Linked DNA regions of Rattus norvegicus. Each later gene encodes a partner of the first gene's protein in a complex. Links are inferred from orthologs where the notes say so. Each region holds a gene or a part of one and is shown on either strand. Other genes may lie near its edges. The genes, in order: Adat3 and Adat2.

Region 1 (16,651 bases):
TAGAGACAAGCTTACAGGGGAAGTGTCAGTAAGCTGGTTGTCACTGGCCTTGTAGACGATCGCCCCATCCCCCACCTGTGGTCCTTCTCACGGCAGGCACCTGTCTGCTTCTCTGCTTCTAGGCAATTGGTCCAGGACTACCCTAGCACCAAGCTCATGGATATCCTCTGGAACAACACCATTTCCATGGGGTCTTCTCTGAAGCCTTTTTGAGAGAGTCCCATGTAGCCTAGGCAGGCTTTCAGCTTGTCACGTAGCCCAGGATAACCCTGAAGTCTTACGTTCGGGACGTGTGTGTGTCACTATGTATGCTTGGCATCCAGGTAAACACAGAACATGGGGGACTTGCCTAGGATCCTGGCCCTGGGCAGGCAGAGGCAGGAGGATTCTTGTAGCTCACTGGCCAGCCAGTCTCAGAAGAGCAAGGTGGATGGCAACAGAAAGCAGGGGGTAAGGTCAACCTCTAGGCTCAATCCTGCAGACACACAGCATGCCTTCCTATACAGATAGAAGCCCTGCTGCAGAAAGAGAATTTATTTCCAGAATATTCTCACATAACAAAACCAACTATGGCATGTGGGCGCACATACCCAGGGGTGGCAGGGAAGAGCTGTAGGTCACAGGTGTCACCTATGGCGGGCACGTGACTCCATGCCCGCCACTCTGAGATGGGATAGAGACCAGGTGCCCAGACAGTTTGGCATGATACTGGCACATGAGGACATGGCCCTGCAGGGAGGCCTTGGGGACTCAGTGACTTGGCTGGTAGCATCAGGTCGCAAGGAAGAACACTGAGTCCAGTGTCATCAGAGGTGCTGTGGACACTCCAAGACTCAGTTCGGTTCTCTTGACCAAGGCCACAGCTGCCCAGGAAGGCAGAGGATGTGGGGAGGAAGCACAGGTCTCTCTAAGGCACAGGGGTGTCCCGGCAATCCTGCTGCTGGGGGTATGGCCTGCCATGCAACAGAGCTGGTCCCTCTCCTCCACTTGCCCACAGAGAGGCCAGAGTACCCTTGACCAAGTGAAGTGCAAGTGGGCAGAGCTCTACTCAGGATCCTGGGTGTTGGAAGGGACAGCAGGTTGTCACTGTCACAAGGGGTGGGACAAGGACATAGCAGGACCCAGAGGAACATGGGTATAGTGGACGGCAGAGGACACAGGTACAACCGCCACACTCCTGACTGTCCACTCACACTCATCTACACACGTGCACTGGGCTTAGTTACACATATCTCCGTAACAAAGGCCAGGGGCTTGGGGGCTGAGGCCTCTCCTTGCGCAGGCTGGAGCAGGGCAAACACAGCCGGGCTCGCAGGATGGCAGTGGACAGTGGCTGCTGGGCAGTGCTTGCTTAGGGTCTGACAAGAGATGAACACGGACGGGCCAAGGACCTCCTGGGACCCTGGGGAGATGCTCAGGCCTCAAGATCAAGGGTGGTAGCAGGAGACAGAGCATAGTGCTGGGGCCAGCCAGCCGCCTAAGGCCACTGGCCTCCACTGGTTGAGTAGCTGGGGACAGTGGGGTACTCAGGCAGGCTGTTCCCAGAGAAACTGTTAAACTGGGCCTCCCTGGACGGCGGGTTCCTCCAGGTGCCAGCACTCCACTCTGTTTGTGCCTTCTGGAGGCTTCCGCCAGCCCCACGGTAGATCCTGTGTACCTGTCGGTCAGGGACAAGGATAGAGAAAAGTCAGTGCACTGGCAGGGACAGGGACCCAGTGTGAACCCTGAGTGACACTGCAGGGCAGTGCAGGACCTGGTGGCTCATCTCCACACTGCTGCCTCCATAGCCCACAGGACACCCCAATTCAACAAGCAGGCACACGCCACCCCACTGTGACACCTTGTGTGATCTCTGACTGTATTTCTATGGCCCTCGAGGGAGACAGCAATGGTGGCATAGGACAGATGGATGTGCCCACCTCATCTCTGCACTTGGGAAGCGGAGACTCAGTGAAGCAGCAATGGAAGGTGACTCTGGGATAAACAGATGCTGTTATTTAAAAGGTCGCACACCTTTAATCTTGGAGCTCCGGAGGCAGAGGCAAGAGGATCCAGGACAGATAAGGCTACATAGTGAGACCCTGTCTCAGAAATAAATGAAAACTCAGGTGGGCTCATGTAGGGGCAGGGCAGGGGGACCTGTGTGAGTCCCAGGTCAGCCAAGGCTAAACAATGAAGCCCTGGGCTGGGGTACAGCTCAGTGTGGAGAGCACTCGTCCTGGGCCCCACCCACCCCAGCACCACACAAACCAGGGACACACAGCTGTCATCCCAGCATTCTGGAGTTAGAGGCAGAATCAGAAGCTCAAGGTCATCTTTGGCCAGCCTGGCCTTCCAGGTTTGCCCAGCGAAGTGTGGCCTTGTGTGCTTCGCCTGGCCTCTCTGTGTTTGGAATCCTCTTAAGAGTTCTTAGCCTGGGAAGTGAGGTGGCCCATGCAGGGACACCTGCCATCTCTAGCTTGACAGGGTGGCTCTGGCACTTGGAGAGTGATCCTGTCACCCCAAGCAGGGCTATATAATATATATATATATATATATATATATATATATATATATATATATACACACACACACACACACATACATATACACACACACACACACACACACACACACACACTATAAGGACGCCATGGGCCATCTTGTACACTCCAAGACCCCAGGCCTCGCTGCAAGGCCTGAGCTGCTCAAGGCTATACATTCAACCTCAGGAATGGAAAAGTGCCTCTGCGCTGGGCAGGGTGGCACATGACCTCCACATTTGAAAGGCCTGGACCGGGGTTGGGGATTTAGCTCAGCGGTAGAGCGCTTGCCTAGCGAGCGCAAGGCCCTAGGTTCGGTCCCCAGCTCCGGAAAAAAAAAAAAAGAAAGGCCCGGACCCATGCCCACAAACCAGATCGCATGCACGCACATGCACGCGCGCGCGCACACACACGCATGCGCGCTCGCGGTTTATCTTGGGGCTGAAAGCACTGACTGCTCTCCCAGAGGTCCTGAGTTCAATTCCCAGCAACCACATGGTGGCTCACAACCATCTGTAATGGGATCTGATGCCTTCTTCTGGTGTGTCTGAAGACAGCGACAGTGTACTTATATATAATACATAAATCTTAAAAAAAAAAAAGGTTGATCTTGTTCCGTGCAGGCAGCTCTGTCCCCACAGCTGTCCATGGCAGACCCATGTTGTCCCTGGAGGCACATGTCTGCTGCAGGTCACCTCGCTGGCCTGCGGAGGCCTCCTACCCTCCCCACAGGAAGGCTCCTGAGCCTAAACCATTGGTGCCAGTGACACTCCTTGTCCTCCTCTAGGATGAGGCCATGGGTCCCCCACAAACCCTGTGAATTCCCAGGAAACAAGATCCCCATCACAGCCTGCAGCCGAAGACATGGGGTGTTCTGTGTAACTCATGCCCACAGGATGAGGTAAAAGAAGTTTTAGGACAGAGACTGAGCACAGAGAACTCACCTTCACAATAGTGATGGCCATCACGACAGCGGATAAGGAAAACATGATGGCTGGGATCAGCATCACCACAGCAGCCCCAACGCTGGTCCCAAAGAACCCAATGGTGGCCAGCCAACCACTGCAGATGAGAGAGGGCTCAGCACATGGAGAAGGGCATGCTATCCTCCATATGCAAAGAGCTCTGACAAATCAACAAGGAATCGGTAAATAAGGCCAATTCTCCTTCATATGTACTGAGCTCCAACAGATTATTGAGAATAAAACTTTGAAGAAGCCAGGTTCCGTTAAGGACCAGAAAGTGACTGGTCAACCCAAATTGAGGGTTACCCAGAAAACTTAACCATTTGGCAGGCTTCAGTTCCTAGAATACACTGCGAACAGGAAACATTATGTCAAGGCCTCAGTGCCTCCTACAGATCAGGATGGCATCTGCACCCTGAACTAAAACTTAAGAGACCAAATTGGTGGGTCTCAGTGGGACATACCTGTCATTCAGGCATTCAGGAGGGGACACAGGAGGAAAGAGCTCAAGGTCACCCTTGTGTATGTATACAATTTCAGGCCAGCCTAGGCTACTAGAGACCCTGTCTCAAAAATTAAACCAAACAAAACAGATACGGGACTTTGCCCTTGTTTGTCTGGGACAGGGTTTCTCTGTGTAGCCCTGGCTGTCCTTGAACTCAGAGCTCTGCCACGCGTGAGGGGTCATCTGTTTGGTAGGGACTGCAGGCTGGAGGCAATTTCCTAGACTTGTTCCCAGTGCCCAGCATGTGCCTGCCTGTGTGTGTGTGTGTGTGTGTGTGTGTGTGTGTGTGTGTGTGTGTCAGTATCCCCATGGTACAGCCCATCCAACCTGAGAATGCCACCTGCCGATCTGAGGCAGGCACTGACGCCATGGTGATGGCATGGGTGACAGGGATGGGGTGGGGGAGCATGGTTCATGAGAAAGGTAAGAGGACACCTGGGGGCCTTATATGAACTTTGACTAGGACACACAGAAGAAAGGAACACTCAGACCCAGTGGCCCATGCCTTCATCCCAGCACTCAGGAGAGCCAGGCAGGTAAACCTCTTTAAGTTCCAGGCCAGCCAAGCTACATAGGAGGTGTTCTAAACAGGCCTGGGAGCAGCTGGGCAGCGCCCCCTGCTGGTGGCTCACGGCACAGGCCTTTTTCTTTCCACACTCCTAAGGTACTGGAGGGCGCCCTCTCTCCGAGGGGCAAGCCCTGGACCCATGCTGGGAGACTCTCACACAGGCATACAGAGACCGCATCCCTCTGTCTGCTTACCACGCGCCCCAGCCCGAGAAGCCGATGGCCTGAATGACAGTCAGCACAAACTGGGCTCCAAAGATGAAGAAGAATGCCATGAAGTTAAAGGAGCTGTCGGCTCTGCAAATGACAGAAGATGCCGGGTCACCTACACTCCCTGAGGAGGGGGGGACCCAGCAGGGGGAGGACTGTGTCACTTCCCTTGTCCTTGATGGCCTGAAATAACCACGGCCCTCCTCCAAGCACTCAGCCTGGGGTGCCACAGGGAGGATTGGAGCCCCAGCGTCATGGAGACTGCCTAACGCCTTGTCACCATGAGAGTGAAGGGCCATCCTCGGGCTACTTCTGGGCGTGGAAGGTGTGCCTGTGCTCCTGCTATGGAGACTTGGCTGAGCAGACATCGGTCTCACTGAGGAGCCCTCCTGGCCTTCCCTACTCTGTACCTCAGGCACCACACAAGAGCAAACACAGCTCACTCGGATGAGCCAGCTGAGGACATCTGCGCATGGACAGATGGTGAACACAGCAGGGTCTATCTACCCACAGGCTAGAGTACTGTGAGGCCCCAACAGGAGCAAGGCCCTGGCACACGAGAAACAAGCACGGAAGGCTACACGCGTTTGTGGCTTCATACTAGAAAGTGTCCAAAACGGGCAAATCTAGAGATAGGAAGTGGAATTGTGGAGGCTGGTTTGCATTTGGGGTGATAGAATCTTCTAGAAGCAAGCACTAAAGCTAACCACAGCACTCCAACACTGAGGTACTCAGTAGCCGGGAAACCACAGTGCGTGCACGACACAATGCTCAGTAAAGCCATTATTAAAACTTAAACTAGGATAGAGGTGCTTGCTGCCAAGCACGACAGCCTGGCTTTGATCCCACCACTCACCTGTCCTGTGACTGCTACAGCAGTGACATGGCACATGCACACTCGTGTGTCTCTGTGTACAAGCCTGTGACCATACCTCCCCACAGTGACACTGCACATCAAAGAATCGAGGGAGGGAGAGAAGGAGGGCTCACAAGCTGCTTGCTTAGTATCTCACACCCTGGGCTCCATCCCATCGACAGTGGTGGCGATGGCCTGTGGTCACTGTGACATAAATGGCCACCTACCCTGGATAAGTGGGAGACAACTTCCTAACAGGTCCCCAGGACCTCCATGGACCTCCAACTCTCAGCATGCCCGCCCCACAGGGTGGGTCTGAGGTCCTGTGGCCTGAGGGCCCCTGGACCAGGCTTACCGGAAGGCCTTGTAGGCAGGCCGGAACCAGCACACATAGCTGCAGGGAGTGAAGAGAACAAGCCAGAGCATGGCCAGGCCAAAATTGGCACCCGCTCCGCCCGCAATCCACCAGGCCAGGCAGGCCACTAGGTTTACACCCAGCGTGGTGCAGTAAACTGGAGGGGACACAGATGGAATAGGAGGTCAGTTACCAGGGGAGTCCCAGGGGACAGGTATGAGACTTGGGACAAAAGGCCAAGCCCAGGGACCCTCCCTACCAGACATTAAGGATGAGCCTCGTGCAGGGACCAGGGTCTTGAACGTCCCAAGGAGCACAACACTGCTGCACTTGGTGGGGACACTGCTAGGGTGGCCCGCCCACCTGCCCGCCCTCCTGGAGAGGCTCACACATCCACAGCCGGTAGATCCTCTTCACCAGCACCTGGTGCTCCACCGGGATCTCATCAGAGAAGTCCTGGTAGAAGCAGGGCTTCAGCGGCAGGAAGTGAGGCAGCGGGGGGAAGTTGTTCTCCTTTCCTGTAGGAAGGAGACCCCCAGGTAGCCCGACAGCCAATGCCTGACAGAGCCCCCTCCCCACTTCAGGTATAGCCCTGCAGGATCAGCCAGACACTCTCTGGGCTGCAGACAGAATCACATACCAGCACTGCATGTGTTTGGGGGAGTAGAGGAAAAGAAGGCCCCAGAGAGTAGCCACAGTCAGTATAAAGGCCCTGGAGTCTGCACTCAGTGTCCAGGAGTTGTTGGGCTAGCAATGGGCTACCAATGAGGTAGACCGCCAGCGGTCCTTCCATAGCCCCTAGAGTAGTGGGCAGAGTTCTCTAAGCTCTCTAGCTTTACCCCCCGCCCCACATCTGCAAGCTGGAGGATGATGGTTCTTTGGTGGCCTATCTGTGCCCCACTGTAGCACCCAAGGTGTCCCAAGGCGGAAGCCAGGGAGGCCAGGTCAGCTCTACAACCAGCTCAGGAGTCTCAGTGGGCGTGGGGGACACTACCTGGAGAGCAGGGCAGACTCACCTGCCATTTCTGTGTCAGCTGACCTGGCACCCAGGCAGAAGGGGCCACCTGAAAGAAGACTTGTATTAGGGACTTGGTAGCCAGGGGACCAGGAAGGCCTCACCCAGCCCACTGCTGCAGGTTCCGATGCGTAGGCCAGCCAGCCTGCTGCTGGCTCAGGGTTGGACCTCACTTCTCAGAGCACACCCGGAGAGGACAGGCCAAGCCACCAGCTGATGTCACCCATAGCCTTAGAGCCAAGATGTCCTAGTCTCAGTGGCCTCACAGATGGCTTCAGAGCCTGCTGACACAGCCCTCAGTACTCCTGTCCTATCGAGTCACCCAGAACAGAGCTCCCTGCCATGTGGTAGGCTCCAGCTTGGGTGTGAAACTCACCTGTGGGCTCTCAATGGGAGCCTGGACAGGCCCAGGGGCACCTATCAGCTACTTTCCTAAGTAGCTCTGCTCCTAAGTGCCACCTTCAAGATGGGCCAGGCGCAGCCCCACAGCGTTTCAGGTGAGGAAGTGACGGGACACCCTGGCCTCCAAGTTCAGGCCCTGCTCAACCAGGTGTCACTGGTACCACAGTCCCACAGAGCCTCAGGTCGGGCTGCTCACAGACCTGCCTCAAAGCCTCTTCCTGTCCCACCCTGCCTCTTGGTTACTGAAGCATGGCTCCCAAGAAGAGCACTGCTTTCCCTTAGAGGAAGAAGGCTAGAAGGACTCTGAAGATGCAGACAGAACCCCAGCCTCACTTCTGCTCTAGGCGGGGCCTTGCCTTTCCTGTCTGAGGCCAGAAGGTGCACAGCCAACCCTGCCACCGCTCCTGAGGGCAGCTTGGTATTTGCAGGCACCACACTTAGACCGATCCTTCTGGAGCGCCTGCCCTCCCCTCCCTCATGAAGAGGCACACAGGATGGCCATGAACAGACCCCAGGTCAACAGGCACCCAGACACAGACGAAACCTTAGAATCCAGGGACAGGCAAGGGCACCTGCTGGGTTGTTTCTGACCCTGGACGCACTCAGCAGGGCTGCCCATTCCCTTCACAAGCTATAGCCTGAGGCAGACGTCAAACCCAGCCTGGCACCTGAGTGCAAATGGGAACTTGGTTTGAGGTGCTTTATTTTCACACTCGATGGCTGCTCCCTGCCCCGAGCCTAGAGGACCACCACGGGGACTCTAAGGCAGCCACTGGGCTTGCAAGCAGAGCAGAGCCCCACGGTGTCGCAGCCACCAGAGAAGCTGCAGTCTCGAAACTGAGAGGCCCACAGTCTGGCACAGGTGGTCAGTGTCCTCAGACACAGAGGGCGGGACCCCAGGCCCAAGGCCATGGAGCTGCAGGGGATGCGGGCTGGCCAGGAGCAGAGAATGGTCTAGAAGCAGAAGGTCACGAGGCCTACGGGTCGGGGTCCAGCTGGCGGCACTGGTCCTCGAGGATGCCGCGGAACACCTGGAAGCGGTGGTTGAGGTCTGGCCGAGCGTGGACACGGAAGCGCGTGCCCAAGGCGCCATCGGGTGAGGGCGCCCCATAGAAGACACGCTGGATACGGGCGTGGACGAGGGCCATGGCGCACATGACACAGGGCTCTCGGGTGACGTACAGGTCATAACCGGTGCACACATAGGGCAGGCTATCTTCGTCCAGCTTGCGCACGCTACCAGCACGGGCGCTCTGAGTGGCAGTGGCCTGTGTGAAGGAGCAAGCTGGGTGGCGTCTGAGGTCGCAGGAGCCTCGGCCCTGCCCCTGGGCCACCAGGTCGATGCATACCATGACGGCGTGCAGCAAGGGGCTGGCTTCGCTGCAGCAGTCATGGCCTGTGGCCAACACATGGTCCGAGGCTGGGTCCACCACGACGGCACCCACTGCCCGCAGCCCCTGCGCGGCTGCCCTCTGGGCCGCACGTACTGCCCGTTCCATGTGGGTCTGCATGGCGGCTCGAGCCTGCGCAGAGAAGAGTTGCCCGGCCAAAGCACTGGTCACCTGCTTGTCTTCATGGAAGGATGTGGGCCAGTGGGCCCGCGCCTCCTCAAACTGGCTCCGGGTAAGGGGCGGCCGGGCAGGCACAGGCACCAAGAAAGGTGTGCCCAGGCCGCGCGGGTCCACGGCCGGCCTCGGAAGGAGCTCGGCCAGCGAGCGCGGGCCCGCGGACGGCCCGGCCAGGCACAACAGCAGATCCGACGAGTGCGCACCGCCTGCACTGCGGCTGGGGCGCACCCGTTTGAGGTGGGGCTGGGCAGGAAGTGGATAGACAGCAGACACCTCCCGGAGGAGGCGGGACGTCTGGCGCTTGTCCAGGACAGGTGCAGCGTAGGCCAGTACCAGCTCCACGGCCCCCGACTGCTGCTCCGACAGGACAGGGAGGGCTTGCCACTGCGCCGGCTCTTGCTCCTCACTTTCAACCTTCTCAGGCCCAGGTTGCTCTGCAAAGCCTGAGGTGGGCTCCATCCTCAGCGGGGCTCGACTGTGGGAGACAGAGATGGGACTGGAGCATCATCCGTCAGCTTCAGTGGGGCGGGGGTCTGTCCTGGGATGCCGTGGGTCCCGCCAGGCCCAGGAATGAGGAGTCCAGAGCGCCAGGTAGAGTTGGCTTACTCCCCGGCCACATAAGGAAAAACCATGCCGGTCTCTTCGGGGCTCTGACAAGTCCACATGCACCCAACAGACGCCATGTTGAGGACAGTGTGGAGACAGGCATTCATTACTATGAAACCCAAAACCCACCTCAAGCAGCATGCACAAAGCCCTGGCTTCCAGACATGGCCCGAGTAAACCAGGCCTGGTGGTACCCTGTCATCCCAGGAGGTGAAGGTCGGAGGATCAGCAGCTCATGGTGATTTTAAAACCAGCCCTATGAATGGCTACATGAAACCTTGTCTCTAGCCAAAAACAAAAACAAAAGAACAAAACCCAGAACAGCTGCTGACATGCTCTGGCTGGCTTCAAGTCCTCAGACCTATAGTCAGAAGGAAGGCCTGCAACAGACTCATGGGACCCTTGAGTAGATGAGACCTGCAGAGAGAGGATGTGTGCACGCAGATCCTGGCTCTGGCCAAGCTGCTAAATGTCCCATTTTCTACACAGTGAAAATATATAAATGGAGAATGGGGTTCAGAATCACCCCCCAAAACACATAGTTAGACTGACAGTGAACCTGACCCCAGGTGGTTTCTATGGGACATGCTATGGCAGTCTACCTGGTAGCACACACCAGAACCTGTGGGGCAGAAACAGGAAGACGGCTGTAAGCTGGAGGCCAGCCAGTCAGAACTACAGAGCAAGACCCCATCTCAATCCTCTGTACCCCAGAAAAAGGTGGGTGGCAGGCCTAAGATGCTCCCTAGAATGCAGACCCTGCCAAGAAAGGAAGGCATGTGCCCATGAACTGCTTCCACGGTGGACCTGTGCTCACCTGTATGGCCTGTCCAAGTTAGCCCACTTCCTGTTTCAGTGGGCTAGCCTGGGAACCTAGTTATCCATGGGACCTGAGCTTTCAGACAATGCTCACGGCCTGCTGTGCAAGCCCGGTAAACCCTGAGCCGACACTACCACCGGTTACACATGGGGAAACTCAGGCTCCCCAAAGCCAGTGAGGGCTGAGGTGACAGCCGACATCACCACCACTTGGTTACACACAGGAGCCAGTGAGAGCGAGCGAGGCTTTGGGAATCCTCTCAGGCCTCAGGAGCTTCTCATTGCTCAGGCACAGCTAAGAAAGGGCAAAATGGGACTGGAGAGATGGCTCAGCGGTTAAGAGCACTGACTACGGGGTTGGGGATTTAGCTCAGTGGTAGAGCTGGGTTCGGTCCCCAGCTCCGAAAAAAAGAAAAAAAAAAAAGCACTGACTGCTCTTCCCGAGGTCCTGAGTTCAATTCCCAGCAACCACATGGTGGTTCACAACCATCTGTAATGGGATCCGATGCCCTCTTCTGGTGTGTCTGAGTAGTACGGTGTAATAAATTAATTAATTAATTAAAAAAAAAGGGCAAAATAGCAAATCTGAGAAGGACCTGGTTCTCTGCTGCTGACCCTTCTCGCCATCCATAGTCCTCAAATCTTCGCCTCGGCTGACAACCTGCCCCACCTTGCCCTGACAGCTAACCACTGGCAATAAGGCCTAGCAATCCTCAAAGCAGGCCTAGAATCCCCAATACCCCCAGGAGGGGATCGGGTGTAGCTCAATGGTAGGAATCTGTCTGTCCTGCTTAAACCCTGAGTTGAATGTGGAGCACTAAACAAACAAATTAAAAGGAAAGAGAGAAGTGCCTATGAGGTGACCTGCTGCCTGCCTGTAGTGGGCTTGGCTACACTACCCAACATCACCCCCACACCCTGCTGGACCCACGGATGGAGATGGACTCTGGTACATCCGTTGGCTTTCAGGGCTCACCCCAGCTGCATAGATCAACACTGAATGGCTCTATGGGCTAACTAGAGGATCACAGGGGCAACCTGGAGCCCTCAGACTAGGAAGTCAGAACAGCATCAAGTAAGCGTGTCTGAGAGCCTGGTATCACCATGGCAGGCAGAGCCCATGAGGGGCATGGGGACAGCTGGCCTCCCCAGAGTATACACCACGCCTACGACACACAGAGCCTGCCTGGGCCACAAAGCACCACTGTTTCCAGGGCAGAAGACACAGCCTTGTTTGTCCCATCAAGACTACAACAGGGGACACAGAAAGAAGGCTGCTGCCTTGGGAACAGACAGCCTGGGCTTACAGACCTCTGGGGAGTTTAATAACTATAGGATGGTAGCCCCTCGTGTTCATGGCTATAGAGTCCCATTCTGTATGTTTGCTTTCCTGTGTTGTTTTGAGACCGTGAAACCAGCTTCATCCTCTGGTCACCAGGTCACTCACGTTGGGGCAGAAGTGAATACCAGCATGAATGGCTCCCTTGTTTTAGGTGACAGGTGCCTACTGTTCATCAGCATGGGAACAGGTTTGAAAGCGGCTCCTCGTGCCACAGACAGGGACCTCCCCTCCACCAGACACTCTCACAGGCTTAGGAAGCCACCTTTAAGGAACCTCATTCCCTCTGCAATGAACAACTGCAGGCAAATAATGGGCCTCGGCTCCAGGGTCACCATGGCTAGACTGGCTACAAGGGGCAGGAAACAGCACCACTGCATCAGGTCTGGAAGCACAGGCCCGAAATACCAAGCACTCAATAAGCCACTAGAGAGGAAGATGTTGAGTTTTCGGCCAGCAAAACCTTCCAAAATAAAAAATAAAGAGGGCTCGGGGCAGAGTTCAGCAGTGGAGAGCCTACCTATATCCTAGAATGAGAGGCTGAAGCTTGGTTCAGGGGTAGAGCCCTTGCCTAAATCACCCAGTGAGGGGATAGGGTGTGGCGCAGGGGTAGAGCCCCTGCCCAGAATCCTTCACTGAGGGGCTGGGCATAAAAATAAGCAAAGCTCCTGGAATTCGCTTCTGAAGGGAGCGGACGTGGATCAATAGTACAGTGCCAGTCTAATATAACCAAAGTCCAGGATTCGATCCCTGGTACCACCAAAGATACCTCAAGAATGCCCATAAGTACCAGAGCTTAAAGGGAAACTGCACACCTGCCGTATAGATGGTGAACTGATAACCCTGAGGCAGGGGACTGTGATGACCCGGAACATACAACCGGAAGCAGCTGGAAATCACGGGGTTTCCGGAATCAGAAGTAGGGTACACGCGTGCGCCGCAAACCGACGGCGTGGGGCGCGGTGGGCGCAAAGCCCTGTGCGCACGCGTACTAGCGTTGACTGCGAGCGCACGCGCACCCCCACCACCTCCCGGGACGCACGCAACACTAGTACTCAACGCGGGCTGCCCGGACAAGGCCTTCTTTCCCCTGTCCACCGCCCGTTCCTCATCGCCATCCCCGGCGCCCCATGTCAGATACGGAACGGCGGAAGCCGAACCCTTACGGCGGCTGCTCACCTGAGGGACACCCGCGCGAACGCCACGCTTATCCTAGTCCTAGCAACCGGGCCGCCACGCCTGCTGCCGCGGGGCACGACGGGAGCGTAGTTCCATGGGCGGGGCCTGTGAGATATGACGGCAGAGCCTCGACTACATTTCCCTTAAGGCCGTGCGCGTGAATGCTTCACCCAGCCTTGCTGAGTCTGGGGACTTTTCTCCTGTGTGCTGCAGTGAACTCGACCCCTGCGTGACACTTCGAGACATCAGCAGAAAGAAGACTTGAGGCAGAAGGAGACTCTATGGCCGTCTATAGTCACTCAAAGAGCATCTGCCATCATACTTCTGTAAAGTCCCATGTTGGTGCTGAACAATCTCTTCTACTGCTTGAAAGGTGACTGTGGTCCGAGGCCCTCATTTTCCTCATCTGTACAATGGGTGAAACAAATATGTGAACTCCTGAATAAAAAATAAGATTGGCGCTGAGACTGTAGCACGGTTCGTGGAGTGTTTGCCTAGTACCCAGGAGACCCTGGATTCCATCCATAGCACAGCTGATGGCACAAGCTGGTCATGCCAGCACTCTGTGGGTGGACACAAGAGATCAGAAGTTCAAGGTGGTTGGGGTGAGGGCCTTTAATCCCAGCACTTGGGAGGCAGACGCAGGCAGATCTCTGTGAGTCCCAGGATATCCAGGACAACATGTCTTGAAAAAGGAGATCCTGTCTTCAAAAAAACAAAAAACAAACAAAAAAAGACGAAAGAAAATAAATGAACAAGTAATAGAGGCAGGAGAGATGGCCTAACATTAATACTTTTAGTTAATTACTAATTGTTTTACATAGTCTCACTGTGTAGCCTTGTCTGCCTAAAAAGTCATACCCAGGCCAGAGTTCCTGAGTCTCTCCCAGGGCCCTTCTTCCTCTGGGGCTCAGAAATCGAGACATAAACAGCAGACAGTCTGGCTGAACAACCAGCCAGGAAGGTGGAAAGTGGCGTCAGAGAGCCCAGGGTCTCCAGGATCAGCCTATTTGCAATCTTCTAGGTCTGTCTACTACACACAACCTTTCTGGAATAAGGAGTGTCTTGTGACCAGCTATCAGAGCAGAGTAGGTCCCATAGGATTGGTTTATGGCCACTTGCAAGACAGATAATTTGGGAGATTTGTGTGGATGTGGCCAGCATTACAAAACTAGAACCCTTGTGCAGTATCTGGCTTCCAGGAAGCCATGTGAACCAAGGGTCTTGGAAGGAAAACCAAGGGTTTGGGTCACCACAAAAAAAAAAGCCACCATGGGGGCTGGAGAGATGGCTCAGTGGTTAAGAGCACTGACTGCTCTTCCAGAGGACGAAGGTTCAGATCCCAGCACCTTAGGTGCTCACAGCCATACCTAACTCTAATTCCAGAAAATCCAGTGCCCTTTCAAGACCTCTATGGGCACAAGGCAATACATACATGCAGGCAAGGTACCAGTTTACATAAAATAAATATTTTTTAAAATGCTCTGCCAGGCTTTTCCAACTTGGGCCCGGCAGAGTGGTGCCTGCAAAGAAAGGTGGCGAGAAGAAGAAGGGCCATTCTGCCATCAAGGAGGTGGTGACCCAAGAATACACCATCAACATTCACAAGCGCATCCATGGAGTGGGCTTCAAGAAGCGTGCTCCTCGGGCTCTCAAAGAAATTCGGAAATTTGCCATGAAGGAGATGGGGACTCCAGATGTGCCCATAGACACCAGGCTGAATAAAGCCATCTGGGCCAAAGGAATAAGGAATGTTAAGGAATGTTCCATACCACATCGGAGTACATTTGTCCAGAAAGCGTAATGAGGATGAGGATTCATCAAACAAGCTCTACACACTGGTAACTTCTGTGCCTGTTACCACATTCAAAAATCTACAGACGGTCAATGTGGATGAGAACTAACTGCTGAATGTCAAAGTTACAGAACTGCCCCCCCCCCCAAAATGCTCTGCCAGGGTTGGAGAGGCAGCTTGCCAAAGGGGAACCCTATTATCCCAGAAGACCCTGGTTTGATTCCCTGTAGCCACATGGTGGCTCACAACCATCTATAACTGCAGCTATAAGGAATGGAATGCCTTCTATTGGCCTGGATAGGCTGGCATATATTACACAGACAGATAGATATGCAGGCAAACGCTCATATGTATACAATGAAAATAAACAAGTTTTCTAAGAGATGCTATGCAAGGGAGCTAGAGCGGTGGCTCAGGGGTTAAAAGGACCATGTGTCAGCTTGTACCTGCTAGGTAACTGTAGGGGATCCAACACCATCACACAGACAAACATGAAGGCAAAACATCAATACATATAAAATAAAAATAAAGAAGTTGTCTTTAGTAGCTTAGGAAGTCCCTGAAACTGAGCAGATTCACTAGGCTCCTCCCTCCTCAAGCTTATATAAGCCTTAAAAACTGCTAAGGGACACTATTAGACTAGTAGACATGCCTAGAACAGGCAGAGACTAGCTTAACTGAATGTAAGGGACACTCTCCCCTCCAACCTATTGAGCTGACTGCAGGCTGTGCAGTGCGCTCCAGGTCCCCAGCTTTCCTGCGCAGGGTAGCAGATTGGGCTTTGAGTCTGTTCTGCTACTCTAAGTAGTCCACCATCCATACTCTTGCAAATAACCCCAATAAAACTAATGGTTCACCAAGCTTGACTTTGGTAGTGTCCTTGGTTTGGGCTGTGACTGTCCCTGTTTGAAGCGAACGAACAGGTAATTGTTTACTTATCCCGAGGAAGAGGGTCACCTTCTATCTGCACAGAAGATTCTGGGCAGGAGGTCTACCTCTGAGGCACACCCTAAAGCCTATTTATCCTTTAATTTTTTTTTACTTCGGTTTGTTTATTTCTTTATGTGCCAGGCAGTGGTGGCACTCACCTTTAAACCCAGCACTTGGGAGGCAGAGGCAGATAGATCTCTGTGAGTTTGAGGCTTGATCTACAGTGTGAATTCCAGAAAAAAATGGGGACGTTGGTGAAGGGGAACTCAAAGAGGACTGAGAGCTTGGTCATGGAGCCCCACCTAGAATTCCTCAGTAAGGGGCTGTGGTTGTGGTCAGGGTTGGAGCCTTGCCTAGAATCCCCCAGTGACGGGCTGGGAGGCGTGGCTCAGTGTGATTTCTTCCCTGTTTTGTGAAAGACCTTTGGTTTGATCACAAAAATACAGGGGCATAGATTTCATGCACTGGGTTTGAGGGAAGGACTAATCCTGGGTCTAGGGAAGCAGCTGGAGGGTCCTCTGCCTGCCCTGCACTCCCCTTCCAGTCCATCAGTCATCTTCATGACCCCTCACTTCCTGCCTTGCCTCTCCAGTCTCTACAGGAAGAATCCCACTCCCAGCCCCTTGAAATCCCCCATGATCTGGGCACATCTAGATAGGAACTCTCAAAATGCAGCTGTCTTCAAGGCACAGCCTCCAGTTGGGCACTTGTGATACCCAGGGCTTGGAGCCTGCTTTGCAATTTGGAAAAAGGATCTCAGGTGGTGGCTTAGGCCTGTGATCCCAGCACTGAGAAGTCCAAGGCAAGAGGAACACTAGATTGAGACCAGTCTGTGTTGCAGGATATTTGATCACGGTGTAAACCCAGAGTGTGAACTGGAAAAACCTATTTCTTGTTGTGGTGTGGTTCAGCCCTAGCACACACCTTTAACCCAAGAGCTTCCTGTAAACAAGGGCTAGGTAAAGTGAATATAGGTCAAGAGGCAGAGCCAGCAGCCCACTGACCAGAGTGAGCATCC
Region 2 (13,448 bases), on another chromosome or scaffold:
CCATGGCAACTATGTAAAACAGAACCGTTAGGTACTTGTCAACATCTTCTCCAGGGAACACGAGTACACCTATCTACCTTGAATGATTTTATACCCTCATACCTGCCTGGTGAGTCTGGGTTCCTACCTGACAGGAGTTTTGCTAAGCATTAAGGATGAACTTTAAAGGCCGCAAAGCCCCAGCGCTGATTAATTAAACTCTTCTGTGCTCCCAAAGCACAAAAGATCAAAGTCCACGAGAACCACATTGCTGTTACGTTACCCTAAGTCCGTCTGGTACTTTAGAACCATAAAATGTTGCACGGCACTTTCACCTACTTCCACTTCCCAGATGTGTCCACTGTGACACACCGCTTGGATGTCACCGTTAAGAAGCATTGTTTGCTAAAAAAAAAAAAAAAAAAAAAAAAAAAAAAAAAAAAAAAAGCATTGTTTGAAACAACGAACTTTCCAGTCTGCGCACAATGACACCAAATTATCAAGGCTGAAACACAGGTGGTTGAGGACAGCTCATCTTGGAGGGCTTGTTTGATTGAATACCAAAAAGAAAAAAAAAAAAAGGAAAATGTTTCCTCTACTGTAATCCTTTTATGCTTCACCCTCCCATTTGTACATTGAAGGCCTTTCTTTGACACCCCCTTAAACAAACAAAACAAAACCTTAAAGAAACAGAAGCTTTGCAAAGCAAAGGTGAACTTTCAGGTTGAATGTTACCAAGGTGCACTAGTTTCTTCTGGGCTGATATTCTGATGTAACAAAAGTCCTTTTGTTTCGCTCAAGTGTTAAAAGAAAACATAATGAAATTCCAAAGATGTAACCCTTTGTTAGCTTTTGGTTAAGGTCACAAATGCAGAAATGGCAAGTTTATCTACTACGATCTTATAGTTTCCTTTAACTTTTCTGAAAATTTGATACCTAAAACAAAACAAAAGTCATTGCATCATTGTTCCAATCAGGGAAAAAAATAATAATTTACAAAGGAAGAGAAAAGATCTAGGGCTGGAGAGATGGTTTCTTAAGTAAGGTGCTTTCAGGGGAAGAGAACGGGAATCTAGACTCTCCAAAACCCATGAGACTACCCAAACACAGCCATATATTCCATAGACAACCCCAGTGCAGAACACAGGAAAAGCAGGGATCCCTAGGGTTTGCTAGCAGCTAGCTGAGCTGAACTGATGAGCTCCCGGTGCAGGGAGGGACACTGCCTCACGATACCAGGTGGAAAGTGATAGAGGAAGACATCTTGACCTCAACCTGCATCCTTCATGCACACGCACTAGCGTTCGCACACACACTACAAACACACACATATGGGAGGGGGACAGCAGGAACTGTTCCACAGCCTACACACACACACACACACACACACACACACACACACACACACACTAAGCGGGAGGCGGGGCAGGGAACTGCCCCAGAGGACACATTGGCTCTTGTCTTGCCAACTGGCCCCACCGTGGCCATAGTATGCTTCTGTGTTCTCAGTGCTCCACTCACGTTTTTTGTTTGATTCACTTCATTTCTTCCCTTCCCCACAACTTCATTGTTATAGACCATGAGGCAGCCGACAGGAACTTCAATATTCTCGAGTGCTTCTTTGGCCTGAAACACAAAGTGGAAAAGCTGAGAGGTGCCGCTCAGCGCTCAGAAGGCTGTGGATAAAAACAGACGCAGTGGGAACCGAGGGGTGGACAATGACCTGGGCAAACAGACACAGCTGTGCTTTCCCCGTCTCAACGCTGGTGTCTTTGGACTGTGATGTGCTGTGTTCTCTGCTGGGTGTCTGTGTTAAGGAGAACTCAGGGATGTCTCCCTTCCCAGGTCCTGCGCCTCATTTTCTCTCACCGAAAGTCTGAGTAATCAATGGCTTTTGACCAGTGTTCCTAAAATACCAAGGCCGCCCCTTCTCAGAGATGATACCCATATTTGCAAAGAGGTGGGAGAATATATAACATGTGTAAATATTTGGCTATAATACTTTGCCTTGATAAACTTCTACTTGATTAATTCTTTTAAGCTTCTCTAAGATTGTAGATATGATCCCATAGAGTATCAATACCATAAAAATGATCAGACTGGATGTCACTCTTTCCCACAACTTTTATTCTAAGAGACACATGGAAATTTAGGGATATTTTATGTAACGATGACACCAACTTGGAAAATACATTGGAAGTTTTTAAAAAAATAAATATTCACAAAAATCTATGATCCATGTTGCACGCACGCATACACACACACACACACACACACATACACACACACACACACACACACACACACACACACACACATACACACACACACACACACACACACACACACACACACACACACACACACTAAGCTGATGAGACTTTAATAAGTTCTTCAGAGTCTTCCAATGAGATTTCCCTGGTTCTGATAGTGAAGCAACAGTTAGACAAGGTGTGACACTGAAGAACATTGAATGCCTGGGCCCTCTCTGTGCACACTTTTTGCAGTTTCCTGTGGCTTACAATTATGTAAAAGGGAAAAGTCAGTAACTGAGCTAAAGAAGGATGTAGCAAGCCTACTGATGAAGAGTCAGGCAGATCTGTTGACTGTGTAGAAGACCCTAGGAAAATGCAGGCCAAAAAGAAAGGCGGTGTCAGTGGTGTCAAGGCCGAGACAGAGGAATTTCAGGTGGAGCGGCGGAAATGAAAAGCAATGGCTTGAAGAAATGACTTCCCAGGGCTCAGATTTTCAGTGTTCCACTGTACCTCCCAACAGAACTCTTAAGAGGTAATGCCATGTCTACATCTCAAGATGCATAGGTTGAAAATCTAACTAGCTGTGTGTGTGTGTGTGTGTGTGTGTGTGTGTGTGTGTGTGTGTGTGTGTGTGTGTGTATGCACGCATGTGCATGGTTTGGTCTGGGACTATTTTGAGCATTTTGTAACTATAAATTCCTTTCGTGTATAATCCGAATGTGATAGGGGCACTGAGCATCATTGGATAAGGAAACCAAAGCAGGGAGGTCAAATAACTTAGCCATCTAAGACATCTGGAATAAAAGTCATTACTCCATTAATAGTTGGAACAACTATTAGTGTCAGGTGCTGGGTTCTTTGCATCGCTCTCTCTCTCCGAAGCCTCTTTAGTAACCCGTTCGGCTTCACTGACTAGACCCTTCATCAGAGTTTTGGTTCGGAGGAGAGGGAGTAGTAAGAGGGAGGGATGCGCGATAAGGCTTCTGGTGAGCCTGCATCCTGGACCACTGAATGCGATGTCAGGAGATACAATGCCAAGAGCAGCTCCGAACATACAGAAGAGAATCAAAGACTGGGCCAGCAAGATGGCTCAGCAGGGCTTGCTGTGAAGGCGTGAGGATGAGTCCCATCCCCAGAACCCACAGTGGAAGGAGAAAAATATCTCTCCTCCCAAAAGTTGTTCTGTAGTCCTCAGACACATGCGAGCACACACACAGATGCACCCTCTCCACACATACACATGCACAAATAATAACTTATTTTAAAACTCCCCAACATGGTAGGAAGCACATAGGTAGGGAATGCCTAAAGCATTATCCACAGTGCATCCGACATGCTCCAGAACACTGCTTGTCTTGGCAGCCTTTCTCTGCTCCCAGGTCAACAGAGTACTGGGCTTCTTGGTACCTAGTGCCTCTGGGTCCTCTCTTTTTTTTTTTCCTTCCAGCAAAATTTATCTCACTAGAAGTGACAGGATTACCTTAAAGAGACATAGAACATAATTGATAAGGCACGACTTGTAGGCCAGGATGCTAGGGAGTAGCTGAGCAAATGGAGTGGCAGTTGAGAGAAAGTGACGCCCAAAGAAAGCGGTCTGTGGAGGTCGATTTAGAGGAATTGCTTCCCAGTACACATACACATACAAATGTGCATGCATTTCCTCTACTGACAAGTTCAAAACTCGAAGCTGAAAACCCACATCCAATCTCAGATTTTCCAATGCCCCTCCCAACTCTTCCAGTTAGTCCCTTTCTCTTGTCACAAATGCAAAAGAGCTGGGTCAAAATAGGTCTAACTGGGTACATGGCTTTGAACTTAAGAAGCTAGCCTTCTTTGGAAGAGGTCAAAGCTCTTCCACTGAAATGGAAATGGCGACTTGGTCTTCCTTAAACCAACAAATTCTCAACTCAAGAACAGAAGAATAAAGGCTCTCTTCCTCCCACCCCAGGCTCTGAGAAAAATGACCAAAAAAAAAAAAAAGGTTAATTAAAAAAAAAGAATGAATTATGCTATTTTGGGGGAGGGGGCGGAGAGCATGTTTCTGTTTTCACAGGGACAGAAATATATGAAGGGTGCTTACAAAATATCAGCAGGGCTATCTCTGAGGTCAGGGCTTTTAAGTAACTTTTACATAATTTGTTAAATGTTCTAGACTTTAATTTCTTATCAATGTGAACTTCCGTAACCATTAGAAGGAAACGTTGAAAATTTCAATTTTGTAAACGAATAAGCAAAAATAACATCCCTACATCAAAGGCTGAGCTTAGTTTTTAAGGCCTTCACAATGATGTAAACAAATTCCATGATGTTCACAGAATGAAAACCCAGCATCAGAAAGACTGTGCATACATACATATATATCCTTGCCGCACATCAATATGGGTAATAAGCTTGGAAAAACATGTAAATACGACCAGGGCCCTCCATAATGAGCAATCCTAAAGGGATTGCGGGAAGGAAATACAAGGGCAGAGAAAAGTACTATAGAAAGCGTAAATACATCATCGGTGAGGATTATACTGGGGTATGTTTTGATATGACCCTCTTCCAGAAACATCAGCTTCCTTCCATTATATATGTTCAAGGGCGTCGGGAGCAAGCCATAAAATAATGTGGAAAATATGTGTCCACATGGAAAGGAAGGTAGGCATTTGGGTAGTACGTATCCCCAGGCAGCAGCTAAGGCTCCCTGTAATACATACTACACATCAATCAAACAGTCTCTGTAATTTCCCTCAACTCCAATTACTATGAGACAAAGCTAAAGAAAATTCCTCTAGAATAAAACAAGCTGTTGCTTCAGGTATTTTGAGAGCCCATATATAATGGTGATGAGAAAGCGCGCCAGGCACATTTGCTCAAACTACTCTGGTCAGGATGTGGCCGGGAGAAAGTTTGCACTCTCGGCATCCACCTGCCGGGTTCCTCACCATTCGCATCGCCTCCTCCATCCACTTTTCGGTCTCCTGTACGGACACCACGCACGAGCCGTCTGGAACAGTGGTGGACTCCACTTTCTCTTCCATATCGCCTTCTCTCAGAGACTCCGGGCCAAGGGACTGGAGGAAAGAGGACAGCGGAACGCGGCGGGCGCGGGCCCTTGCTTCCGGGAAGACGGAAAAGGGCGAGGCACCCGGGAGCTATTTGCGGACGGACCCAGGTCCGGATCAGTAAGCCGGGGCTAGGGGACCGTAAGCGTTGCTGCTCCGCTGTAGTCCACGCCCCCTTCCTCCGCTCTGGCTACAGCCTCTGCGCAAAGAAACGTTTGGGGTTTCTGAAGAGCACCTAGCGCCGCCACCTCGCTTCTGCCAGAGATCCGGGCCAGATTGACGGAAGACACGGTTTCCTGGTGAGCCAGTCCCTCTCCCCTAGGCAACCCACACAACCCGGGGTCTGAAGATGCTGAGATCAATGTGGAATTTTCTGAAACGTCACAAAAAGAAATGCATCTTCCTGGGCACAGTCCTTGGAGGTGAGTGACAACACGGTTTTAGAAGGGGCCATTGGCAGAAAGGAGTGACAGGTGACATAAAACAGACAGGGCCCCCTGATAGTAGTTCTGGATTTGTCGAAGGGATTGGCCCAACTGTCAAAAAGTTCTTTTATCTTCCCTCTCTGTGCCCTTTACCCCTCATTCTGACCCTGTCCTTTTTCCCTCACGGGCCTTCAGGAATCTACCCCCAATGAAGTTTATTTTCAAAGCACTATTCTCGTATAGATACATTGCCTTCCAATTCTCTTCTTTGCCTTCCTGATAGATTTTTCTTTCTGTTTGTCAACTCTGCTTTCAACCTTTCACACGAGTTTCGAAATATTCTAGGGCAATTAGCTTAAGTCTGCTCTTTGATGCGGTGTTTAAAGGTACATTAAAAACAGCATGTTGCTGTAAGGTATACAGTAGATAGTCTCCATTCCCAAATTTTAAAATACAAAGTATGTATCAACACAATGCTTGACTGGGTTATTCTGCAGTGTTGCCAGGACTGGCAAGGTTGTGGTCATTGTCTTTTTGGTGATACAGTTGAGTTCACTGGCTGAGAGGAAAGTTAGAAACACCTAGGATAAAATATCATGATGCTGGAATTGTAACATTGTGGTAGAGCACTTGCCTAGGCTGACTGCGTTGGATCCCAGGGAACTAGCAGCACACACACACACACACACACACACACACACACTGCTTTAAACCCTTTGTCTTGGTAAGACAACCCTCAGTTCATAATTAAAGGTCTTTAAAGAAGGGAATCTTTTGAACAACACAAAAAGGAAGTTTAAAAAAATTAAGTTTTAAGAAATGTTATCACTATATATATATGTGTGTGTGTATGTATATATATATATCTTAAATTATATCATAAAGTGACTTAAAATATTAGATCATTAATAAGGCAATGACCATGTTCTGCATATCTTTAAGGTATAGCACAAATGGCTAATAGTTAATAATCACCCTTAGGAAATATTCTATAGATAAAATATGTTTTATATTACCTCTATTCTCTAATAAATTGTACCCATATTGTAGAATACATATGTTGAAGATAAAGTCGTATGTGTCATGGAAGACATATTAAGAAAAATTTTTGCTCTACCTAAGTAAAGAAAATTGTCCCTAGCAATTTCAGAGAAGAGAGCCTAACCCTTATGGTTTATGAAGCAGTTAATGACAGATCAGAAATAGTCATAGGAGAAATTAAAGAGTATGTGGTTAAGTAATAAGTTTTTTTTGAAACTCTATTGAGAGCTTTATAATTGGAGATTAAGAGGAAGGGAAAAAACTGGGAGTGGTGGCACACACCCTCAATCCCAGCATTTGTAGGCAGAGGCAGGCAGCTCTCTGAGTGGAGGTGTGGTCTATACAGTGAGTTCCAGAATACCCAGAGCTTCATAATGAGACCCTGTCTCAAAAAACAGAAATAGGTAAACAGAAAACAAAACACAACAACAACAAAAGGGAGGGGGAAAGATTCAGAGGTGTAGTGGAAACACTGTTGGTTTTTAGCAAAATAGAAAGTTTTGAAATAGCTGAACTTAACCTTTTTTTGTACAGAGTTCATATTTTTCTGTATTTTGAGGAAATTCCTATCCTACATTTTAAGAAATATTTATTAAGTGATTATACTGCTGGGGACAGTATGATTGAATAGGTATAATATATGTATTTTTAATCATATATTTATTAGAGACTCACTGAATGTTGAACAGCATACTAAGTTCTTTCCAACTTCTGGAAATGACAGCAGGATACTTATTATTTGGCCATATTTTAAATGTAGAAACTAGAGTTCCCACACCCTAAGAAACTTGCTAAGAGTTTGAGTTACTAATAAGGAAATAAGAATTCAATCCCAAGTGTGTTAGATCCCAACACATATTATCATTCATTACTCTACTACTCTGCCTTAGCAGATTGTTTAATGTTTAAAGAATGAAGAGATAAGTAAAATACTGTTTACAGACCACGGTAGAGTTGAATACAGAGCCCAGTAGTATGCAGCAACCTGGAGTTACTTAAAATGAGGCAGATTTCATAAGAGGAGTGACACATTTTGGAAGCTGATTAAAGTGTTATTATGCATGATCAAAAGAGATATTTAGTGCTGGAAAAACACAGCAAGGCAGAACTTTGAGTTGTGTGGCTTCTAAAGTCAGAATTCCTTCTTCCCTACATTTCGGATGGTAATTGCTGCTTGTCCATTCACACAGTTAGACCGCTTGAGGCGGGAGAAGAACAGTGGTTCTCAAACTGTTTGATGGGAAATCTTTATACTATTAGAAATTAAGAGCACCCCCCCCAACAGCCTCCTGAATTCTATATCTACTTGAGAATTTAAGGTTAAAACCAAAGGTATTAGCTCATTTAAGGTAACAACAATAAGCCTATTAAATATTAATATGAAACATTTTTGGAAATTAGTGAGAAGAATGGCATTATTTTACAATTGCAAAGGTCTTTAGTTTGGCTTAACTGAAGAAAGCTAAATTCTCATCCCTTCTGTAGTCATGTATGATGCCTCCCATTAAATAGCTACTAAAATCCTCCAGTGAACACTCAGGATGCCAGTCCCAACATCTCAGTATGACACAAATATTTGTGGACCTCACGGATCCCTAAACTGACCCCAGGGATGCCAGGACCATACTTTGAAAACCACTGGATAAGCGAAAGTGTCACAGAACAGAGGAACTGGATTCCCACTTAATATCTGGTGATTTTTTAAAAGCACAGAACATGGAGTTATATCTTAAGCCTTGGAATTTTTAACCTCTTTAGGGATTTTTTTTTTTTTGTCATTTATCGACTTTCCGTTTGAACAAGAATAAGGCCTACTCTAACTCTACTGGGCTATAGTCTGGAGAGCATACATGGAAATAAAGTAATCCACACTGTGAATGCCTTCCTTACTATGCCATTGTGTGTAATGCGGGCAGGATCTGTGTGCACTTGCTTCTCAGTCTTTGCTATGGATGAAAACCATTTAAAGTGCTTCAGAAAAATATAGACTCCTTCCTTCAGATTCTATTTCTTCAGGTGTAGAGTATAGTTCAGGAACGCCTCAATGCTGAAATGGAGATGTCACCAAATGGACAAGTTCACTACTCAGCACTGAAAAAAGATTGAAATAGAATGCAAACATTAGAAATTGGGAATCTGCTTGATTGGAAGCAATGTTGATGGATTATTTTCAAATTGTTATTGAAAGTAGTTGTGCTATAGGAACTTTTCTCCTGGAAGACAAAACTAAGAGATGGTTTTAAAACAAATGATTTATACAAAGATATTTTGCTTAACTGGCCATGAAAGGAAACATCAAAACATTTTCGCTTTTTTTTTTTTTTGGTATTTAGTAGATATTTTAATTGCTAATAATGAAGATTATTGTAGCTATACTACAGAGGAAATTTACAGCTATTTGATTTTACACATGAAAAAGATGTCTATGCAGAGGAGTAAGCTGCCTGCTCCAAGTCACCTCACCAGCTGGCTGGTTCACGTCACATTGCCAGTGAAGCGGAGGCAGTCTTAAGTCTGTCTTAGCTAATGGCAGTTTTCTTTCTTTCATTAGTGTTTCCTAGAGAAACATTAGAAGAAGTCAGTTTGTGATTTTTATATATGAGATCCTAAGTGAACTAGACCTTGACTCGAAATATCAGTGCTAACTCAAGAAAAACAGTTTGTCTAGGACTTAAGCCCAATTTCATGTGTGACTTTTCTAGGGCTTCCATAATGAAACCTACCAAGTGAGAAACTTACAAAACTAAAATTCATCTTATACTTTTGAAGTTAATAGTCCTGATCAAGGTGTCTGTGGGTTTGTTCCTTCCGTCCTGTGAAAGGGATCCTACTAGGCTGTGCCATGTGGTGGCCATCTTGTTTCACACTGGCTTCTGCAACTGAATACTGACTGCTGGAAAGCCACAGAGAACTTCCAGAAGCCTTCAAATTGTCTTTCCTTTGTACATATCTCTGTCTACCTTTTACCTTCCTCTCAGGACTGGCCGTGTGGGATTGAGGCCCACTGATCTCACTTTGTATTGACCTTTTGTTCTCAGGTTCAGTATATCAGCCTGTGGCACGGGACAGCAGTGCACACAATTAAGCCCATTCTAGCTTTAGCTAGAATATACTGCACTTACCAAGTAAAGAGTGTCACATCAACGATTCATTTTGCAACATAACTTGAGAGATAATAATCACTGTGTGTGTAACCTTCAGTAATATGTTATGGAGATAAGGTACAAGCAGTATGTTCAGAACTAGGTGAACCAGAATTGCCTGTTGGAGGGTCACTTTGCTAAATTTAAGTCAGTTTCTTCATTCTCTTGGGATCTTTGTGGTGAGGGAAGGGGAATAGGTTCTCACAGTATATCCCAGGTTCCCCTCAAAATGGTAAAAAGCCCTCCTGCCTCAACTGGACTTATGGGCATGAGCCCCATATGCCTCTCTTATTCTAATGGCTGTGCTGCTGTGATGTTACAGAAAAGACAGCCAATGAACAGCATTTATTGATTTCTCTTTGCTCTTGGAGCTTAATTATAATGCATGTATTTGTATGTGTAGTAACAACAACCATACTATTCCTATTCAGCACACAATTTTATGGAACCATCTAAAGATACATAACATCTTAAATCATCCACAACATCTGATTTAGTGAAAATAATTTAGGATATATTTGCTTTGCAGCTCCTGATGTCTACCTTGTCCTTGCTTGTGAGAAACAGACCTAATCCAACTATGTTAGGCATAATTCTTGAGGCCTTTTAGGAGATAGTATAAGCCCCAGACAGAGGAGATAAATGAATGATGGTTAGCCCTCTGAGCCCTTGCTGCTAGGATTTATAATGAAATCAAGCTCTGGCACACATTGATACTTATTAGCAAACAAAAATGAAACAATAACACAGCCTCTTCTATAAGCTTGTTGAATTCTGACCTTTGGCACTATGACAAAATCATGTACCCAAAACAAAGGCAACTCTGTCATTGCTGTAACTTGTTGGATTTGGAGGACTTTTCTGGGTTCCAGGTTAAGCCATCCCTGAGGAAAAAGGCCTTGCGTCCATGTTTATAGAAATGGTACTAAAATGTTTCAGCTCATCAAGTTCTTAAACGCTTACTGAAATAGTCCGTGAATCCACTTCTGCTATCCATTGTACTGTTTAGTAAACCCTCTGATGCCAATCCGAGATAGTTAGTTAAAACAAGCCATCTTGTGTGGGGGACTGCCTGAGGAAAGTAGTGGAGCACAGGAGTGGAGAGAAGTGAGAGTGGGGAGCAGGGCAGTGGTGACTGTGATCTCAGTGCGCTGTTACATGTGTGGAACTGACCAAAATAAAGGAGATTCGACTGCCGCTGCATCCTCACCACGTTTAACACTGAATGCTCATCAGATTCCCAGTTAAGAAAACCAATGGCCACTCACCCAGTAGATGACAAAAATGCACCCCCTTACATCCTGTGCTGAAGACCACACAACCCTGCCATATTTTACACCGTTGTGTTACGGTGCTGTCTTCCTGTTTCCTTTGTCATTTGAATTAGTAGTTTGTAGACAGCGTAAGTTATATTTTCTTATTTTCTCAGATGTTTTTCTAATACAGGGGTGGATAAATGCATGTCTTCCTGACGATATACCCTTCTCTCATTCCTTTAAATCTTTTACTGTAGAGATTTTTAAAGTTATGTGGCCATTGACGACAACATGGAAAATATAGAAAAGCAAACACAATCGCAATTATCACAGTTTATCTTACTTTAGAAATTAAGTATGTACTTTTCTGTGTATCTGTTCCATTAAAACACAGACTTCCTGGATGTTATTTTATCACCTAATAGTATGAGGTAGATCTTTCCTCGACTCATTAACTATTTAGCAATGTGGTTTTTAATAACTACATAAGATACCATTATGTGAACAGATCATAATTTATTTAAATAACCCTCCGTTGCTGAATGTTTAGAATATTTTCAATTAACTATTAAAGATGCTGCCAGACTTTATAAATCCAATGCCTTTCTGCTTCTTGTCTGTTAATGTCTTCTTTTTTTACTAGCTATATTAAAATATATTATATGCATGTAAAATAAATAAATAAATATATAAGTAAACACTGTATCTCCTTTCCCTTTTCAGTTCTTTAATAAAAGTCTTTTAGAAACTGTATTTTCAGCTTGTCCCTAGTATCAACCTCATGATTTAATCAAAAGTGCTTAAAATATTGGTTAGAATTTTTAGTACTCCAGTTAATATACTACTTTGTTTTGTTTTGTTTTGTTTTTTAAATGACTTTTAGGAGTCTATATCCTGGGAAAATATGGACAGAAAAAACTTAGAGAAATACAAGAAAGAGAAGCTGCAGAGTACATTGCCCAAGCTCGGCGACAGTACCATTTTGAAAGTAACCAGAGGACTTGCAATATGACAGGTAAGCAGACGCATATATGTATCTATGTTAAAGTGCTTGTTGGTTTGTATTAATTCATAGCCTCAGGCTCCAGTGTATGGGAAAGATGAGGAACGTGTGATAAACCTACCCAATAGTCCTGTTAACAGAGATATGTAATTTCCACGTGAATTTTTAAAGCCGTATAAATACTCACTTATGCATTCATTCAGCAGATATTCACAGTGCCTGCCCCTGAGTGAGTAGGCAGTAAACAGAGTAAGATCCCCTGAGCTCCAGCAGGTTCTAGTGGAAAGACAGCAAACAGCACAAAGGTAACCTTAGGCTGCAGTGGACCCAGTACAGAAAGGAAAGCTGGGAGGAGTGGACACCTCTGCAGAGTGTGGTCGGGGGCTCGTGCCTCTGACCAGATGGCCTGTGCTGTAAAGTCTCATGGTACAATATGGAGAGAAAATGCCTGAGAGGAGAACATGCTAGAAACATTACAAGAACAGCACACAGGCACTGCAGCAAGGGAAAGCAGATGAGTGCTAGGAAGCAAAGCTGTGGAGAAAGGCCTGACCCACCCATGCGGCCTCGTAGGTCACAGCACAGAGCCCAAAGCCTATTAGGTCTCCAGCAGGACACTGTAGGACATAAGCATTCCGCGACAGTGTCTGCTCAATCACTTAATTAATGGTAATAATGTAACTACCAGAGCCAGAAACCTACTGGGAAAAGGCCACAATACAGTCAGTCTGCTCAGTTTGAAGAGAGTAAGGAGTTAGGTTCTAACTGGGGTGATGCCTGGAAAACCAGTTTCTCAAATCTACGTCAAGTCTGCTCCTTCTACTGTTTAAAGCCTGTTTTTTTCTCTCTGACATTTCTTTAAAGGCTACCTTAGAGGGAATTTACAAAGCTCAGTGTATCTCATTCCGCTCTACGAGTAGGCTTTTCTCTAGATCCGAGAGGACCTTATTGCTAGCTCACTTACCTCACGTTATAGAGGAAAAGCTAAGGTCAAAGAGAAGATAAGTTCACAGCTATATGCGAGTTTATTTTTGGGTTTATATAGGGTTCTGTGAAACCCTATTCAGAAGTACTGGCCATAATGACAGCGCATGCGCACAGCCAGGATGACTGGGGCTCTCGGGAGGCTGATACCACCAGATCAGTTTCCAGTTTAAGTTGTATAATCTGTGTTCTTTGGGCTAATCTGAACCTCAGCTCTTCCTGTAAAATGACCTTTATAAAACTTCCTTCAGAAATGTATTGTGAAGGACCCGGGATATAGCTCAGCTGGTGATGGTGCTTGCCTAGCACGCA

What was found.
Region 2: the proteins of Adat3 (region 1) and Adat2 are in contact, whole or in part, in a crystal structure (PDB 9HMM), measured with the Mus musculus proteins. The link is inferred for Rattus norvegicus from reciprocal best matches to the Homo sapiens genes ADAT3 and ADAT2. Residues at the interface, in NP_001094076.1 of Mus musculus: Val217, Ala218, Pro220, Leu221, His223, Ile229, Asp230, Ala233, Gln236, Gly237, Glu270, Ser272, Pro274, Val276, Val290, Met291, Met294, Ala295, His298, Ala299, Pro311, Asp312, Leu318, Phe319, Val321, Arg324, Asp326, Leu327, Asn328, Pro349; in NP_080024.3 of Mus musculus: Val62, Asn63, Lys66, Asn67, Ala68, Thr69, His71, Met74, Ile77, Leu81, His85, Pro91, Cys107, Ile108, Met109, Ala112, Ala113, Leu116, Met117, Arg130, Phe131, Val137, Leu138, Ile140, Asp144, Leu145, Pro146, Asn147, Thr148.

What each region holds. Positions count from the first base shown.
Region 1 is NC_086025.1:9,751,675-9,768,325, forward strand, and holds Adat3 (probable inactive tRNA-specific adenosine deaminase-like protein 3), read right to left. Parts: upstream 9,454-16,651; 5' UTR 9,425-9,453; coding exon 8,375-9,424; 3' UTR 8,084-8,374; downstream 1-8,083. Other genes in the region: Scamp4 (secretory carrier-associated membrane protein 4), read right to left, coding at 1,478-1,657, 3,467-3,584, 4,755-4,856, 5,981-6,137, 6,370-6,498, 6,997-7,003.
Region 2 is NC_086019.1:9,766,582-9,780,029, reverse strand, and holds the start of Adat2 (tRNA-specific adenosine deaminase 2), read right to left. Parts: upstream 5,351-13,448; 5' UTR 5,261-5,350; coding exon 5,165-5,260; intron 2,800-5,164; exon of another isoform or gene 1,703-2,799; intron 1,606-1,702; coding exon 1,501-1,605; intron 1-1,500. Other genes in the region: Pex3 (peroxisomal biogenesis factor 3), read left to right, coding at 5,634-5,706, 12,033-12,164. UniProt on the Homo sapiens protein: Probably participates in deamination of adenosine-34 to inosine in many tRNAs.